Linked DNA regions of Drosophila melanogaster. The protein of the gene in region 1 interacts with the protein of each later gene in a pairwise test. Each region holds a gene or a part of one and is shown in the gene's direction. Other genes may lie near its edges.

Region 1 (3,193 bases):
ATGGAGGATGGAGCAATGGAATGGATTCCATTGTCTGGATCCTGGTGCCTGCTCCTTGGGCATTTTATTACCGTCTGGAGTGGCTGCATTTCCCTGGTTACATTCTATTTCTTTTTTTTCCCCCCTCCGCCTCTGATGTTCGAAAGCTATAAATGGTTTTTGTCATTTCGACTATCGATGGCAAAGTGAATTTTTACGATGGTAATATGGATGCCAGCAGATCACCAACAGATTTTGGCAATACAAATCGCTGACCCCTTTTAGCCGTCATATCATTAACATAATCATCATCGATCGATGATGGTTTGTTCTAAGTTGATTAGTGAAGTTATTCAATCGAATCGAAGCAGACTGGGTCAATGAATTCGATGTGCATATTAATGAGGTGACACAATCAACAAGTTATGAACTTGTTTAAAGTTTGTAAATACGCTAAAATAAGAGTTCGCTGACGCTTTAAAACTTTAATTATAAGATTACAATCCGCATAAAAAGCTAACCTTGTTCGGAGCATTAAGTTCAAGATCTCTAATTCCATTACGCTGAACTGCTCCCTGCTCTCAAATCCCATCTTAGGTTGCTTGTCAAGTTCCAAGATTAGAAACCAGAAAGCTCAACTAGGAACAGAACAACATTGAGTCATCGGCTTCATGACTTCTATATCTCCCATCTGAATACAATTGAATTATAATTGTTTTCGCTGGCAAACTTTATTTGATTTTTATTTCTGCTCAATCGTTTTGTGCACACGCCGAATGATCAACAATGTGCAGTGTCTGAGACTCTGACAATTATCATAAATAATTTCATTACAATAATTAGTAATGCACGCCTAATGATCTGTGGAACAAATGATCAAGCTGTTTTCCGACTGTGGAATACTCTGCCGAAAAAGGAAATACGAGTTTAAATACTTTAAAGAAGTGGGAAAATATTTCAAAGACCTAATTTGAATAGTTTATAAATAGCATACTTGATGAATGTTTATGATTTGATTAATTTATAAGTTTATGTAAATCATTTCATATTTATATGTAGTTAAAAATATATACCTAAAGAATTGTATGTATCTAAGCGAAATTGATATATCTTGCTAAGCACAAATTTGTACTTCACCAACGGATAAAAATATCTTGAAATCAAACAATCCACAATACAATCATTGTAGTGAGAAGGGGGAAATGTGGGATCCGAGGTGATCAGACGCAAAACAAATTAATCAGCGAGGCAATCGGCGACAACCAACGCAAATTAACCAAACAAATGATTACCAGTTTTTGCCATACTCCGACCCACTGTGCGCGTTTAATTTGGGGAACTTACGGGATGGAGGGTTCTCCAAATGACAAAAGACGCAACAAAACTAACAAATTTTCGGCTCATTATATGTTCTCTGGCTCCTACCAAATGCGCGAGCCACAAAACAAAAAAAAAAACCAACACTTCATTATAAACAGATCGTGTTCGGGGGGCAATGGGGGGCATACATATCTGGGATCTCCAGCTCAAAAGCTTACAGCGATCGCTGGTCTCCAGTGTTTTTCAGTCGTCAAACGACAGCATCCAACATCAGTCGCTAGTTGCGGAAGCCACAGAAGCCTCAGAATCCGCGGATACATTGTTACCTGGCTGATCTTACAAGATGTTCGCCAATCATCGGCTAATGGTAATTGTGATTGATCGCCCACGGCACTAAAAAATAAGTACTTAAGTTCGATTATAGAATAATTTGCCAGCTGAAGTTGAATCATTTCGACTTTGTTGATAGTTAAAGATGTCGAAGTCAACAGCTGGTCAAGAACAGTTTATAAAAACTTGTGGCTTAAGTTCAAATACTCCAAAGTCTGACATAGTTTAATTCATTTGATTTAACTCCATTTAGCTCTTCTGCTTCTGCTTGGGTGCACTGACCTGGGCATCCCTCGCCATCGAAGAGTCCACGGACATTGAGGAGGATGTGATCAGCATAGCCAACCAAACGCAGAAGGTGATCCGCGTGCATCCGCAGGACCTACCGCCCAAGAAAGACACCACCGGCAGCCAAATGAACTCGCCCTTCATCCAGGTGCAAACACTGCGTCCGTCAACGGCATTCGGATCCAGTCAGCGGCAGTACGTGGACTCCAAGCAGATGCGAAAGAGGCGCCCTCGTCCCGCCAAGCTGCTGGGTGGAAATGTGGCCGCCAGTGGTGAAGATGCGACGCAGCCAGCCTTGAAATACGAACTAAAAGCCTTTCCCAAGCAGAAACTCAAGCAGCAGAAGCAACTGAACTTGGACGCTAGGGGGGCTGGAGAGTTGTCCGCGGGGCGGCAGGTGGAGCAGTTGAAGCAGGTGGAGGTCGGAGGTCAAGTATTACCCGTCCAGATGACGCCGGGCCCCTATCCCATCTACTATGTGGTGTCCAAGACCAACGGACGCTTCGGCAAGTTCCCCATCAAGTCGTTCCAGTCGCCCGCGGAGTTCGCCAAATATCTGGTGAAGAGCAAAGCGGAGCCCATTGGCCGGGATCAGCGATTCGAGGTGATCTTGTGATCTACCCGCTCCATCTTCTCTAAGTCAAAGTTAAAGTCTAAATTATTAGCCCCTAAACGTAGTCGTAACTATAATATTATAAATGCTTATTGCCGCAATAAACCCATGTCTAAAATTAGCTAATGAAACAATGGTGAATCCGTTTGAGTCATAGTTTAAAAATTCTTTATCTTAATTGTTTGGTTTTTTCTGCTCCGGTAATTACATGGGCATCTATCTTCATCTGTGACTCCATCCGCGGAGTTTAGCTAACTGTTTTGCTAGCTGTTAACTGGCCTTGTCATATGCTAATTTTCCAGCGAATCGAATCGAGTGCCGCGTATAATTAAGCCCAGCATAGCCATAACTATTGTCTGGCATTTACATACATACAGCCACAATGGATACAAGATACGCAGATACGTAGATACATTTGATTTATGGCATTCCCCCTTTCGCGGCTTTCTTGCGAATATCTTTTCAAGTGTCGTTTGCCTTTGTTTCTCTGCTGGTTACCTTTTCATAGCGTGATTCTTCTCCTGCTTTCTTCGCCAAACTAAAGAACTTTCTCCCGCCCATTTATAGAATATGATATCTTTTCAAAAACATGCATAGGAATCTTTCTTAAGTTCTTAACACTTCTACTATGCATTAGCTTCACAGTTCGATACTATAAAACCT
Region 2 (6,883 bases), on another chromosome or scaffold:
TCATTAGCTCAATTACTACTACTGAATCATTGCCCCGATGCCAAAACTAAACAAAATATAGATAAATGATACAAAAAAAAAAAAAAAACACCAAAGAAAATAAATAAAAAAAAATACAAGAAAAAACAAAACCAAAAAACAGAAAAAAAAATAGAAATGAGTACAAAGTATGAAGTTAGTTCACTGATATGAATTCAGTATTCAGTATCGCTTATCCAGTTCATGATGCCTATAGAGGAAATATTTAGTTAGCTAAAATATTGGCAAGCTCGTGACCATTTCAACTCGATTCCATTCGATTCGCTTCTAATGCTCACAATCTTCGCTTCGTCCTTCGAAAAAAAAAGGCTCCCAGCTGGCCGACCGCGAACTCTGCCCAACTTTATGTACTCCTACTTGTATGGTTAGGTGCCAAGTGCAGGGATCCGATACACGAAACATCACATATTTCCGGGGAAGAACAATTCGGGCACCATGTCCCGCCATTTACTTACAAAATTAAAACCAAAATATATATTGTTACACAATGCTGCGATCGATTGTTCTTCCAGCTACAGATCCTTGCATTCCCCCGCCACATGGAGATGCCATGGAAAGCATTGCCCGATCCAGATTAAGATCCAGATTCAGAGTCATTATACATATGCATGCAACCATGATGAAGTGCGCACACAAGGCTGCTGCCGAGCCAATCCTCAATTCGAAAAAATTCAAAATTGAATTCAAATCCAAAAATTGAGGTGACCCAAACGGTCCGCGCTCCTGTGTTGTTAAACTTAACTCATGTCGTAGGTGGCTTACTTCTGTCTGAAATGGCAAACATTTAACCATTGAACCCTAACTTAACGATTCGACTGTATATTTTGTGATTTGTTTACTGTCTGGTGTGAGCGGTTACATGAAACAAAAAAAAAAAAAAAACAATAAAGAAGAAAACTTAACAAAAAATAAGAACGGAAACAAGCAAAAATAAAAAGGAAATACATATATGTAAGTAGATCTGACTTTTTTTTACAAAGCAACAAGAAATATAAAATATAGGATGTGAGAGGGGATGATACGCGAATAGGAAAGGAAACAAAATTAATAATAATGAAATTAGTTTAAAATTAGAAGAATGTAACTGTTACGGCTAAATTGTAATGATAATACATATACATAAATATATGAGAGAAACCATAAATATAAATATAAATATCTTAATTTAATATACTAAGTGAATAAAGCAGTTAAATTAATTACTAAGATACGCTAGAGATAATTAAACTACATTTAATAATTATGTAATTATAAAGATGACTCGTAATTTATATACAAGATATACATACATAAACATATAATAACATAAATACCTGCCTTCAACAAATTTGTTAATAAAACTATTAATACTTTCTTATTTTACATAATGTAAAGGAATACCATAATAAAAACAAAAAAAAAACAAGAAGAAAATAAATGTCAAAAAAATAACACAAAAATTGCACATCTTGTGTTTTTTACTTGCGCATTGAGTAGATTTTTATACCTTTTCAATATATGCCCAACTATTTTAGTTTATAAATGGAACAAATGAATGAGCCCATGGAAAGCCCACCAAAGGATCCCAGCATCCTTAAGGATTTGAAGAGCCTGCACCGCCTCTCGAAATTATCTAGCTCAAAGCAATTGAAACTTCCTGCCATCAGGAATTCCTAGGGTGCACCCGGGTGCACCGTTCCGAACAGCTGTTCCAAGTGGTCCGGCTGATGACTGGTCTCCGGATTGCATTGGCTGCGAATCAACCCCCAGGAAGGTTGCCAGCTGATCCGGGCGCAGGCGCACTGCGAAGTGGCCACGGCACAAAAAAAAAAAGGCGCTGCCAGTGCTGCGGATATACATATTGATTTTATGTCGCCTATTCATCAGTTGTAACAATTGTAAGATTACAGCTACCGATAGCTGGGAACAGCCTCAAATTGGCGAAATCGGCTAGGGTATCAGCCAAATGGATGGGTCAAGAGCTCCGATTCGGATGCATCCAAACTCCGTGTGAACGGCGAACGAACTACTGGCCGAGGGTGATACAATGCGAGCACATCCAGAACGTAATTGAAAAGACTGACATCAGATATACTGTGACCAGTGGAGCTTTGGACTCCGCAGCTGGTCCCATCGTAGCCTCGCAGCTCCTCCAGCAAATACGATCCGGAGGAATAGACAGTATTTTCGAGTGAGATTGGGAATTTAAGGCATCGCCAGCATGGAGATACCCATTTCAAACATTCTGCTGCTCTGCCTGATCTTTCTGTTGATCGGCGGAGTGGTGATGATCCTGCTGCAGTATCTCATCTTCATCAAGTTCTCGAATCTGCCCGACGAAAGCGAGGAGCAGAAGCAGGCGAATGCCAAATACACCCTGCCATTGGTAAGTAGCTGGAGTAAATTCCCTTGTTCAATTGACAATTTCCAACTTGGTTTCACCACAATCGCAGAACATCAAGCAGACGGCCAGGAACCTGAAGAGGCTATCCAATTCCGGACTGGGTGGTGGCGCTGGGAATGGATGCGAGAACCATCAGGAGAGCCTCCGACGGGCCTCCGCCCTGGTCTCCCTCAACTTTGTCATGCAGTTTCTCTTCCACGAGTTCAAGAACTCCAATCGGGTGCGGAAATGGTTCTATCGCAAGCTGTCCATCGAGCTGGACGAACTGATTTCCAAGACTACCACCGGAAAACTGCTGGACAAGCTAACGGTGAGAAGTAGATTTTTTTTTGTTTTGATTAAAATAAAAGGGTTAGAGTGATATTATACTCTTTTATTAGTTTCAAAGTTAATTGGTGTACTAACAAATCATCTATTTTATTTTAGATTAAAGAGCTCGAGTTGGGCGACCAGTTTCCGGACGTCAAGTCGCTATCGGTGCACAACGTGGAATTGGACAAGGATGAGCAGCGCATCGAGAATCTCGACCTTCTGCTGGACATCAACTACGTTGGCAATTTCACAACTTCCATTGACGCGGACATGGTGCTGGGCAAGAAGGGATCGATAACGCTTAGGGGTGAGTGAGTTGGCGACAGGGAATGGGTTTTAATTGTTCCTACCACCAGCCTTGCACGAATCTGAAAAAGCCATTGGAAATGAAACAAATTCATGGGTTTTTTCTGTATTTAAAAATATTTAAATATTTAATGATGTTCTTATATATATGTACATATATATTTTACTTATCCCTACTATTTAAATTTACATCTTTTATTGCAGTCAAACAGCTTTCGGGAATGGCGCGCCTGCAGTTCACGAGAAAGCCCTACACGCACTGGTCAATTAGTTTCCTGGGCGATCCGGAGCTGATCCTGGACATCGAGTCGAAGTACCAGGGCCGCCAGATGCAGTCGAACATAACCAACCTGATCTCAAACCAGATCCGAAAGGCGGTTCGCCGGAAACACACGTTGCCCAACTACAAGCTGCGCTACAAGCCCTTCTTCCACTGGACGGCGGAGGAGGACGCGAGCGACTGTGACATTCAACCGAATGGCCTGCTCACCGTCAAGCTGGCGGAGCTGTCCCGGTTGATGGGCTATCCGGGCGCCAGTGAGACGTACTGCACCATCACGCTGGCGCCGGTGCCGTTTATCGAGGCCAGTCAGCGGGATAGCCGGAATGTGCTCATCTCGTTGGACGTGTTCATTCACAAGGCGAAGAACCAGCAGATTGGAATCGTCTTCAAGCAGAGCGGCAGCCAGGTGGTGCGAATCGAGTCCGTGCTCCCGAATACACCGGCCTGCAAGTCCAACCTGCTGGCCGGCGACGTTCTGGTGGCCATCGAAGGCAGGCCGGTGACCACCATTCAGCAGATCGCCAAGGTGGTCAAGACGCTGCAGGCCACTGTCTTTAGTCTGCGCATTGAGCGCATTATTCCTGGAATTATTCGCAACGATGCCATACTGGAGGACTTCGAAAAGTACGAGGATATCGGCGATTTGCCAAGTTCGTATCCCTGCCAACCGAAGTTGGAAACGGATGAGGCTGCAACCGCTGATCCGACACCCAAGCACCTGGTGGTGAAGCCCAGTTTGAGCGGAACACCAACCAATTCCCCCAAGAAGTCCAACCTCATTGCCAAGGCTATCAAGAAGACAATGAGTCGAGAGAGTGGGGATAAGGATCGGGACAAGGATAAGGATAAGGACAAAGATAAAGATAAAGACAAGGACAAAGATAAGGACAAGGATAAGGACAAGGATAAGGACAAAGGCAAGGAGGAGGTGGAGGAGCCGGTCAACTACTTCTATCAGCACTCCACCATCGACTGTCCATTTAGTCCACTTATCCACATGGAAGACGTGTGCAGCTTCCAGTTGGACAATTCCAGTCGCTTCCTCAACGTCTGCGTCTTTGGCAAATCCGCCGGCGAGAGTGTGCTTCTGGGTTATAACAATGTCCAGATCGGTCAGATTCTCGTCGAGTGCTCCGAAACCAGTTTGAACCAGTGCCTCAAGCAGATCAGTCTCAATCCGGCATCACTGCAGGCTGTGTAAGTTGGCCAGTAACCACCAGTGGAAACTCCAGAATGCACAATTGTTTTGATATATATTTACTGATCCCCAGAAAGACGCATCCGCTGTCCAATCAGTCCGGCTTCAATCCGAACCTCTGCTTTGGCGACATTCTGTTTGGCTTCTCCTGGATGGGCAATCCCAATTTGACGGTGGGTGATGTTCCCATCAAAAGCACATCCAAGTCCCAGTCTCCGGCCAGGTAAGCTTCAAGTTACGGATTAAAAGACTAAACTAATTCTTATGCTCCCAACAGAAATCCCTTAGCTGGCGACCGAGTAGCTTCAGAAGATCAGTCGCAGTTCCTCAAGCTGACGAGCTCTATGGCAGACAGCTCCACATCTGGCGAATCCTCTAGTGGCACCACTGCCGCTCCAAGGGCACACGACTTTGTGAGGACCCACTTCCATCGGGCAACACAGTGCGACTTCTGCGGCAAGAAAATTTGGTTGAAGGACGCCATGCAGTGCCAGGAGTGCTCCATGTGCTGCCACAAAAAGTGCATAGTCAAGTGCCAGATGGCCACCGTCTGCGGTCCGGTTGACTGTACCGGCTCCATACCGGCAACCTCCTCCACTCCTTCAATGGCCAGCCGACCGGAGTTCACCATCACACAGGCCGACAATCCACAGATCGTTGATTCCAGCACGGGTGCGACTCCGTTTGATGAGACGTCTGCTGCATCTGGCGGAGATCAGGGGCAAATTCAATCGCCAACGGCCTCTGGCTTGGATGTCCATCGATCCAGCCTCACCGGGATGCTGGCCCAGGGCATCAAGCGGCAGGCGAGCAACTTGGACATTCCCGGCATCGTATCCTCGCTAACTGGCAGTGGTCAGCAGGTGAACTCCAAGAGCCTGCCTCCCAGTCCACAGCACACGCCATCGCGGTAAGTTCGCATGCAGAACCAATTAATATGGGTGCCTTTTTTATACCATATTTGAATACTGACAGAAAATCGTCGATTGTGGAAGAGGCGACTCCTGCTCTGCAGCAGAATCCTTTCGAGAGCGTCACCCAGCACCTGGAGGCCCTGCCCTTGGACTGTCCGGAGCTCAGCTTCGAGCAGGTGATCGTCATCACGGAGCCCATCATTCGTCACACCCGCAACGAGGATCTGATGAATCTGGCCAAGAGCACCAGCAAACTCCTATACGCTGCCCTGCCGCCCGATGAGCGTGTGGCCAAGATAAACGAGTTGGTAAGTCTGCATGGCTTCTGGATAGATATATGTATATATATATATATGTATAATGATCCTATCAATGTTTAGTTAACGAAACTGAAAGTAGCCCTGGATGCGGAGACCGAGGGCTATACGCTGATGAACGATGCGGAGAAGGCCACCGAATCCTCGCCCTGGAAATCGGACAGATCGGATGAGCGTGTCCAGGCGCTCAGCATCATCATGCTGTACTTGTGCACGGGTCTGCAACATGCCCAGGGTGTGGTGCTGCAGTAGATGATGCTGCAATCCTGGGATCATGGGCTACATGTCAATGGTTAAATACTTGTGTATTCGCGTGAACTCGTACATAATCTTAAGTAGTAGACTGGAAATGTGTTAGTGAACTAATGGGCATTTTTAATTCGTGTTGTGGCATACTTAACTAGAAGTATTGTATTTCAATTTTAGCCATTCGTTTCGATCAAAATACGCTTATTTGTCAGTTTTGAAACCGATTTGTACATACATAATATGGGATTAACCCAAACTTAATGGATATATCAATGGCATCCATAGAGTTCCAACTTGTTTTGGCAAATAAACATTTTTAACCAAGTTCTATCACATTTCGTATGATATTCATCTAATATTTTATAGCAAAATGTTTGTATATCGGTATGTAATAGAGAACGTAAAGAGCGTGTGTGCAAATTAAATTAAATATTTTTGACGTTGATTTTAATATTTTGGCATTGGTTTTCTCTACATGCAAACTATGCCTCCTAGCATACTGCATTCTGCATATAAGTATGAGATACGTGAACGTGGAAATGTCAAGTTCAAAATGGCATGTTTTTACTACCAAGTGATCTAATGAGACTACAGACAATTCCGGAACAGAGAAAAATCATATGACGGATGCGTAGGAGATCGGTTCTATATGTACGATTTATATACGACGCACTTTCTCCATTTATATTGAACTTTTACACTTTTCCGCGGCAGCAGCAATGAGTGTTTATATCAGGGGCTATTGCTCTTAAGATGACAAGATACTTTGTTCTTGATGCAGCAATACTCATCTAAAGGATAGGAAATTTCAGAAATGACCATCTTTTAGATTAGATACAAAAATATCTTATTCCTAATTCTTAAAAAAAAAACAAGATCAAT
Region 3 (5,341 bases), 1.9 Mb from region 1:
ACCGATGAACTGCTCTCTAGCCGAACTCCACTCAAGCCAGCAAAAGCAAACAATTGTGATACTAAGCGTAATAGTTTTAAGTCTTTAGGTTTGCTTAATGGCAGTGCGCCCACCATGAGCGATATCATAACAACTGGTGAGTCAGCGTTCATTCGACTGCCTTGGCGGCATACTCATTCGATTTTCTATATTCTAATAGCTGTCCAGGAATCGATGGAGGTATCGCACCAAACGCTGAGCAAACTATTCGATGTGTACAAAGATCCCGACGACGAGGAGATGATACTCACGGACGGCATCGAGCGACTATGCAATGACCTCAACTATCAGCCCGATGAGTTCGCAATTCTCGTCTTGGCCTGGTGCCTGGATGCCTCGCAGATGTGCCGCTTCACCAAGGTGGAGTTCATTGAGGGTCTGCATAAGATGAGGGCGGACACAATAGACAGTATCCGGGTGCGGCTGGAGCAGACAATCGAGATGCTCAAGGCGGACGCCGAGATGTTCAAGCAGTTATACCGCTTTACATTCCGGTATGCCGTTCTTACTGCTTGGAAGATCAGTACCTAATTAGCGTCTCAAATTTCAGATTTGGTCTGGAGCCCGATCAGCGCGTCCTCTCTCTGGAGATGGCTATTGACCTGTGGAAACTTGTGTTCACTGTACAAACACCTGATCTCTTCTCCAACTGGATACACTTCCTCGAAAAGCACCCGAATATTCGCCGCATACCGAAGGATACATGGAACATGTACCTCAATTTTACGGAACAATGTGATATACAAAATTACGATGATACCGAAGCGTGGCCCAGCCTCTTCGACGACTTTGTCGACTACGAGAAAAGCCGGGCGCTGGTTTCCTCGGGCATCCACGACGATGACAACAACAACGACGATCCCCTACAGAGCCACGTGAAGGCCGAGGATCCGGGTCTTGTGTCATAGTAGCCAGTCTCCAGTCTCTTCAGGGCCAAGCAACATTCAACTCGCCAATAGAAATTAAAGAATGTACATTTTCATCTATACTGACCACTCGCTCTCTCTAGCTGCTGCTTAAGATCCCCTGTGAAAGTAGAAAACTTTAAACACCCGTGGCCACTGAAAACGAACGATGCGGTGCTGGCGCTGCTTGAGGACGGACTCTCCAACTGCCATCATTAGCCAGCTCTTATTATGGCTGGCCAACATTCTGGCCGGAGCAACAACGGACGCATTTGTTTATGTAATTAAAGACTTATCGACAAGAATTTTGGAAAAGCTCAATCATCGGAAACCACATGTGTATATAACTAATTGACTTGAAGGCGGAGCAGAAGGTAGACCGTATAATATTTAGCAATTAATTGATGTATTATTTTAAACAAAATTGCAACATTTTATGGCACTTAACTATTTAAATGCATACAATTACATACTTAACTGTAAGTAGTGGATGTGAATTAAATAAAACCAACTAAAAGATTAAACTGCTTAATTGGATTTGTTAATTATGGCATGGCGTATTTAGTTTGATATACCAGTAAATTAACTTAACATAATAGTTGCTTTAAAATGGGGGGATGTATTCAAATCAACCGCCAATTGCATGGCCTATCGATATTCATATCTGCAGATTGGACCGATAGGAATGCCTCCATGCAACCGTGAGACTAGTACATTAAATTGCTATTTTGGTTGGCCTGATAAAATTATAAAAATCATCGCAAACGCAGTCAGCTGGGTATGATTAAGTGTTGAGTGCACCTCCGCGCTCTTGAACAAATCCCCACCAGGTGGAAATGATAGCCGTGTGCAGGGCATTCTTTATCCAGTGATTCACGGCGTTGACATTGAAAAACAAACGCAATGCCAGCACAGTGGGCGTGAGCAGGCGGAAGGGGTGTAATCGCCAGGAAGGGCAAGGATTCAGTGCAAGGACACGGTCGATAGGAGCAGCTGGCCAGTGTCCAACGACCACGATGCCCTGCGAAAGTTGCGGTGTGGAATTCACGGTGTTCCGTCGCAAGCGTGCTTGCTTCGACTGCAAGTGAGTAATGGCCTGTTCATTTGGTTTTCACGGATTTCGGGGATTCATCGATATTTTGTAAACCTCCATTAGACGCTACTACTGTGCCAACTGCATTGCATCCAGGCGGTGCAAACGATGCTCTGTATTCGCTCAGCGACCACTGTCAAGGACAGATCTATTAAAGCTCAAGCCCAAGGACCTGATTTTCTATCTGCAGTCCAAACACATCTCCACTGAAGGCTGTCTAGGTGAGTTACTCATCCGGGAAGTCCCCTGGATGGGGAAACCTCTGGCAAAAACACAACTTAATACAACTTTTCCCACAGAGAAAGAGGAGCTTGTAGGACTGGTTCTCACCCATGTGGCCCAGGTTGACAGGAGCCGAGGCTCAAACGCCTCCTCCAATAGTCCGGGTCGGGGCCAGGCCAATCCCATCGACAGCCTTAAACAGTCGTGCCAAAACTTCTTCTCCAACCTAAGCGATAACATAAGTGATTCGCTAGCCTCGTTCGATTCCAAAGTTACCACAAAGCCGCCGGAGAGCAGGCAGCCCGAGGTGCCCACCCACATCTTCGAGCAGCCGCGAGTATCTACGCGTGAGATACCCACTTATGCCAGTGCCGTAAACGGCGGACCGCAACACGTGCATGTCCAACAGCAAGCCACAACCACCAATGGTGGCAGTCAAAGCAGCAGCAGTCCCTCGACTTCCACGCAGTCATCGAATAATCGCGATGCCAGTAGCAGCAGCCAGGCCCATGTGGCTCATCAGGAAGCGAGAAATGAAGAGCAGGAAGACGCGCAAAGCAAGTCCGACTGCGAGTGCTCAGACGAAGAGATTATGGCCACGTTCAGTGAGCGTGTTTCGATTTCACTCAAAACCGATACCAGTGGCCGGAGGGTCAATGCTGCGGCAGAGCCCAGTCCTGTTGATCTGGCGAACGTAGATAATGGACCTGCAGGGAACACAGCACCTAGTCCAGGCTGCTCCAAGCCGGGGTCAAGCAGCTCCAAGGCAGATGCCTCCTCGCAGTCAAGTTTTGAGGAGCTGGGCGCCATTGGTGGCATCTCAGACGAGAGCAAGGCCAACACGGACACCAACAGCAGTCACCTGGATCAGTGGCAGGTGCTGGAGGTAAACCGGATCGAAGCTGTAGAAGAGACGCCGACCACGAGTGCCGCCGATGAGATATTAGAGGTGACATTGCGCAGCAGGCCGGCGGTCGAGGGTGATGATAGTGAGATGGGCGAAAGTACTCAGGCACTTAACGTAAATCAGCGCCCGGCCAACCCAAGTCCGGCGTTCTATCCCGCCGTACCGCAGCGCACAAAGAAAGTGACTCGAAGACGATCCGATGGTTACTTGAATCGCCGCTACCATTCCAGCGATGACGAGTCGCCTGTGGCGCCAGGTGGACCTGGCCTAAGCCTGGGACTTTCCACGCTGAGTGAACACCCAGAGCACGGCTTGCATCCGCACTCCCATCGCCAGAGCTGCCAGCGCTGCGGTAAGAATAAGACAAACATTCGTCGACATGTTGAGAAAATGCGACGCCATCTGGAGAACTCGCAAATGTCCGAGGAGGACATCAAACGGGAGCTCCAGGAGTTTCTCACGTACCTGGAGCAGCGAACCAAGTCGGTGGATGCCTCCGATGCGGACAGCCACGCGGTGTCGCCACTCAGCGTGGATGCTATCAGTGTGGCTGCTGGTGGAAGATCACCGGACATGCCCATCACGCCAACAATTGAGTTCTCGCCAACGCAGGACGAAGATATCCGCTGGGACGATGACGAGGGCATCCATGTATACGCCGCTCCATCGGACTTCGAACCGACAGCCGGCATTGACTCACGATTTGTCAATTTGGAAGACTTTGAGGATTTGTAAATGCTCTATTCTCTAGAATGTTCATGATCGATTAATGCCTCTCTATTGATTTATAGAAAAGACTTGGAGGGTTTGACAGTGAAGCAGTTGAAGGAGGTGCTGATGCTGCACCGCGTCGACTACAAAGGATGTTGCGAGAAGCAGGAGCTTCTCGACCGCGTCAGCAGACTGTGGAAAACCATGCGCGAGTGTCCAGGTGAGCTTTGGACTTTGCACTACAATTTCACCCTCATAACGATTCAACCATTTACGCAGCTGTTGAAAAACTCGCCACTGATGAGCTGTGCAAGATCTGCATGGATGCGCCGATTGAGTGCGTTTTTCTAGAGTGCGGACACATGGCCACCTGCACGAGCTGTGGAAAAGTGTTGAACGAGTGCCCAATTTGCCGACAATATATTGTACGAGTTGTAAGATTTTTTAGAGCGTAATGATACGGCTAATCTTACGGTAACTGGACATAGTGTAATGATGGAAGCCGATAGCCGCCACAAGCTACATACAGATACAGATCCAGCCCAGCTGTACAAGTTGTACAGCAGATCCTGATGATGCGACTACAACGTATATGTTTCCTTAAATGACGCGAGTGCAACAATAATATTAATTTGATTATTTGGTTCTTCTCTGTAGTATGTTGCCAGTATATATATATGCCTATATATAGTGTAAAACCTGATATCGCTTTTAAAGTGTATTCATCTATTTCAAATGTGAAATACTTTTGCTATTTATTTTGTTTGTTCTTGTTGTTTGTATAAAAACGAGAGGTTATCTAGATCAACTAACATTCCTATAAACCGCAAAAAAAAACATTAAATCTGTTATTAACAGTTGTGTGAAAAACTCGTCTAGATGCGCATTTAAACAATAAATATTTTCCAATATCTAGCGCTCTATTAGCCCAGCCATTCGAAATGGGGATTTTCCTCCAAACAAAGGTTGTCTGGATCATAAATTCTAATCGAAGTCGATTAAGATTGGTCACTAGTTTTGTGACGAATCGCCTGTAACTGGGGATTTTCCCATACCTTGAGCTTATGGTTTTTCGAAATCTTTGAAATACTCTTTTTGCCCAGAACCACTATGAAGGAACCTAGATCAGATCAATCCCGAAGATACTCCCATGCCACCATGCCAAACTAGAGCAGTTCAATTACAACAGTCTTTAATCACGTTAAATAGTAATCTAGGTGTGGTGACAAGAGCTGGGAAACAGCGCAATGACTAGAAGGGGAAGAGAGACGAGAGGCGAACCGATTGGCCAGTTCAGATTCGATGGATGCGCAGGTCGAGCGGTGACTCCACGTCCATCTTAACGAAGAAGTCCTCGCTGTGGAGATAGCTATGCTGTCTATCGCCTAGCCAATAGCTGGGCGAGAATTCCGCATCCTGTTTGGGTTTTAGCGAGTAATCGCTGGGCTCATTGTTGGAGTCATC

Evidence for each region. The genes of interacting proteins can lie anywhere in the genome.
Region 2: the proteins of CG10205 (region 1) and Pdzd8 interact in a two-hybrid assay, tested with the Drosophila melanogaster proteins (one large-scale study listed by BioGRID).
Region 3: the proteins of CG10205 (region 1) and CG17019 interact in a two-hybrid assay, tested with the Drosophila melanogaster proteins (one large-scale study listed by BioGRID).

What each region holds. Positions count from the first base shown.
Region 1 is NT_033778.4:14,831,290-14,834,482, forward strand, and holds CG10205 (uncharacterized protein), read left to right. Parts: upstream 1-1,542; 5' UTR 1,543-1,642; coding exon 1,643-1,666; intron 1,667-1,882; coding exon 1,883-2,533; 3' UTR 2,534-2,662; downstream 2,663-3,193.
Region 2 is NC_004354.4:11,925,870-11,932,752, reverse strand, and holds Pdzd8 (PDZ domain containing 8), read left to right. Parts: upstream 1-1,902; 5' UTR 1,903-2,239; coding exon 2,240-2,404; intron 2,405-2,471; coding exon 2,472-2,732; intron 2,733-2,848; coding exon 2,849-3,041; intron 3,042-3,244; coding exon 3,245-4,520; intron 4,521-4,594; coding exon 4,595-4,744; intron 4,745-4,798; coding exon 4,799-5,431; intron 5,432-5,496; coding exon 5,497-5,743; intron 5,744-5,815; coding exon 5,816-6,004; 3' UTR 6,005-6,329; downstream 6,330-6,883.
Region 3 is NT_033778.4:12,930,358-12,935,698, reverse strand, and holds CG17019 (uncharacterized protein), read left to right. Parts: upstream 1-1,653; 5' UTR 1,654-1,960; coding exon 1,961-2,028; intron 2,029-2,100; coding exon 2,101-2,258; intron 2,259-2,336; coding exon 2,337-3,897; intron 3,898-3,957; coding exon 3,958-4,097; intron 4,098-4,156; coding exon 4,157-4,332; 3' UTR 4,333-4,787; downstream 4,788-5,341. Other genes in the region: SCCRO3 (squamous cell carcinoma-related oncogene 3), read left to right, coding at 1-136, 200-533, 590-947; sug (sugarbabe), read right to left, coding at 5,171-5,341.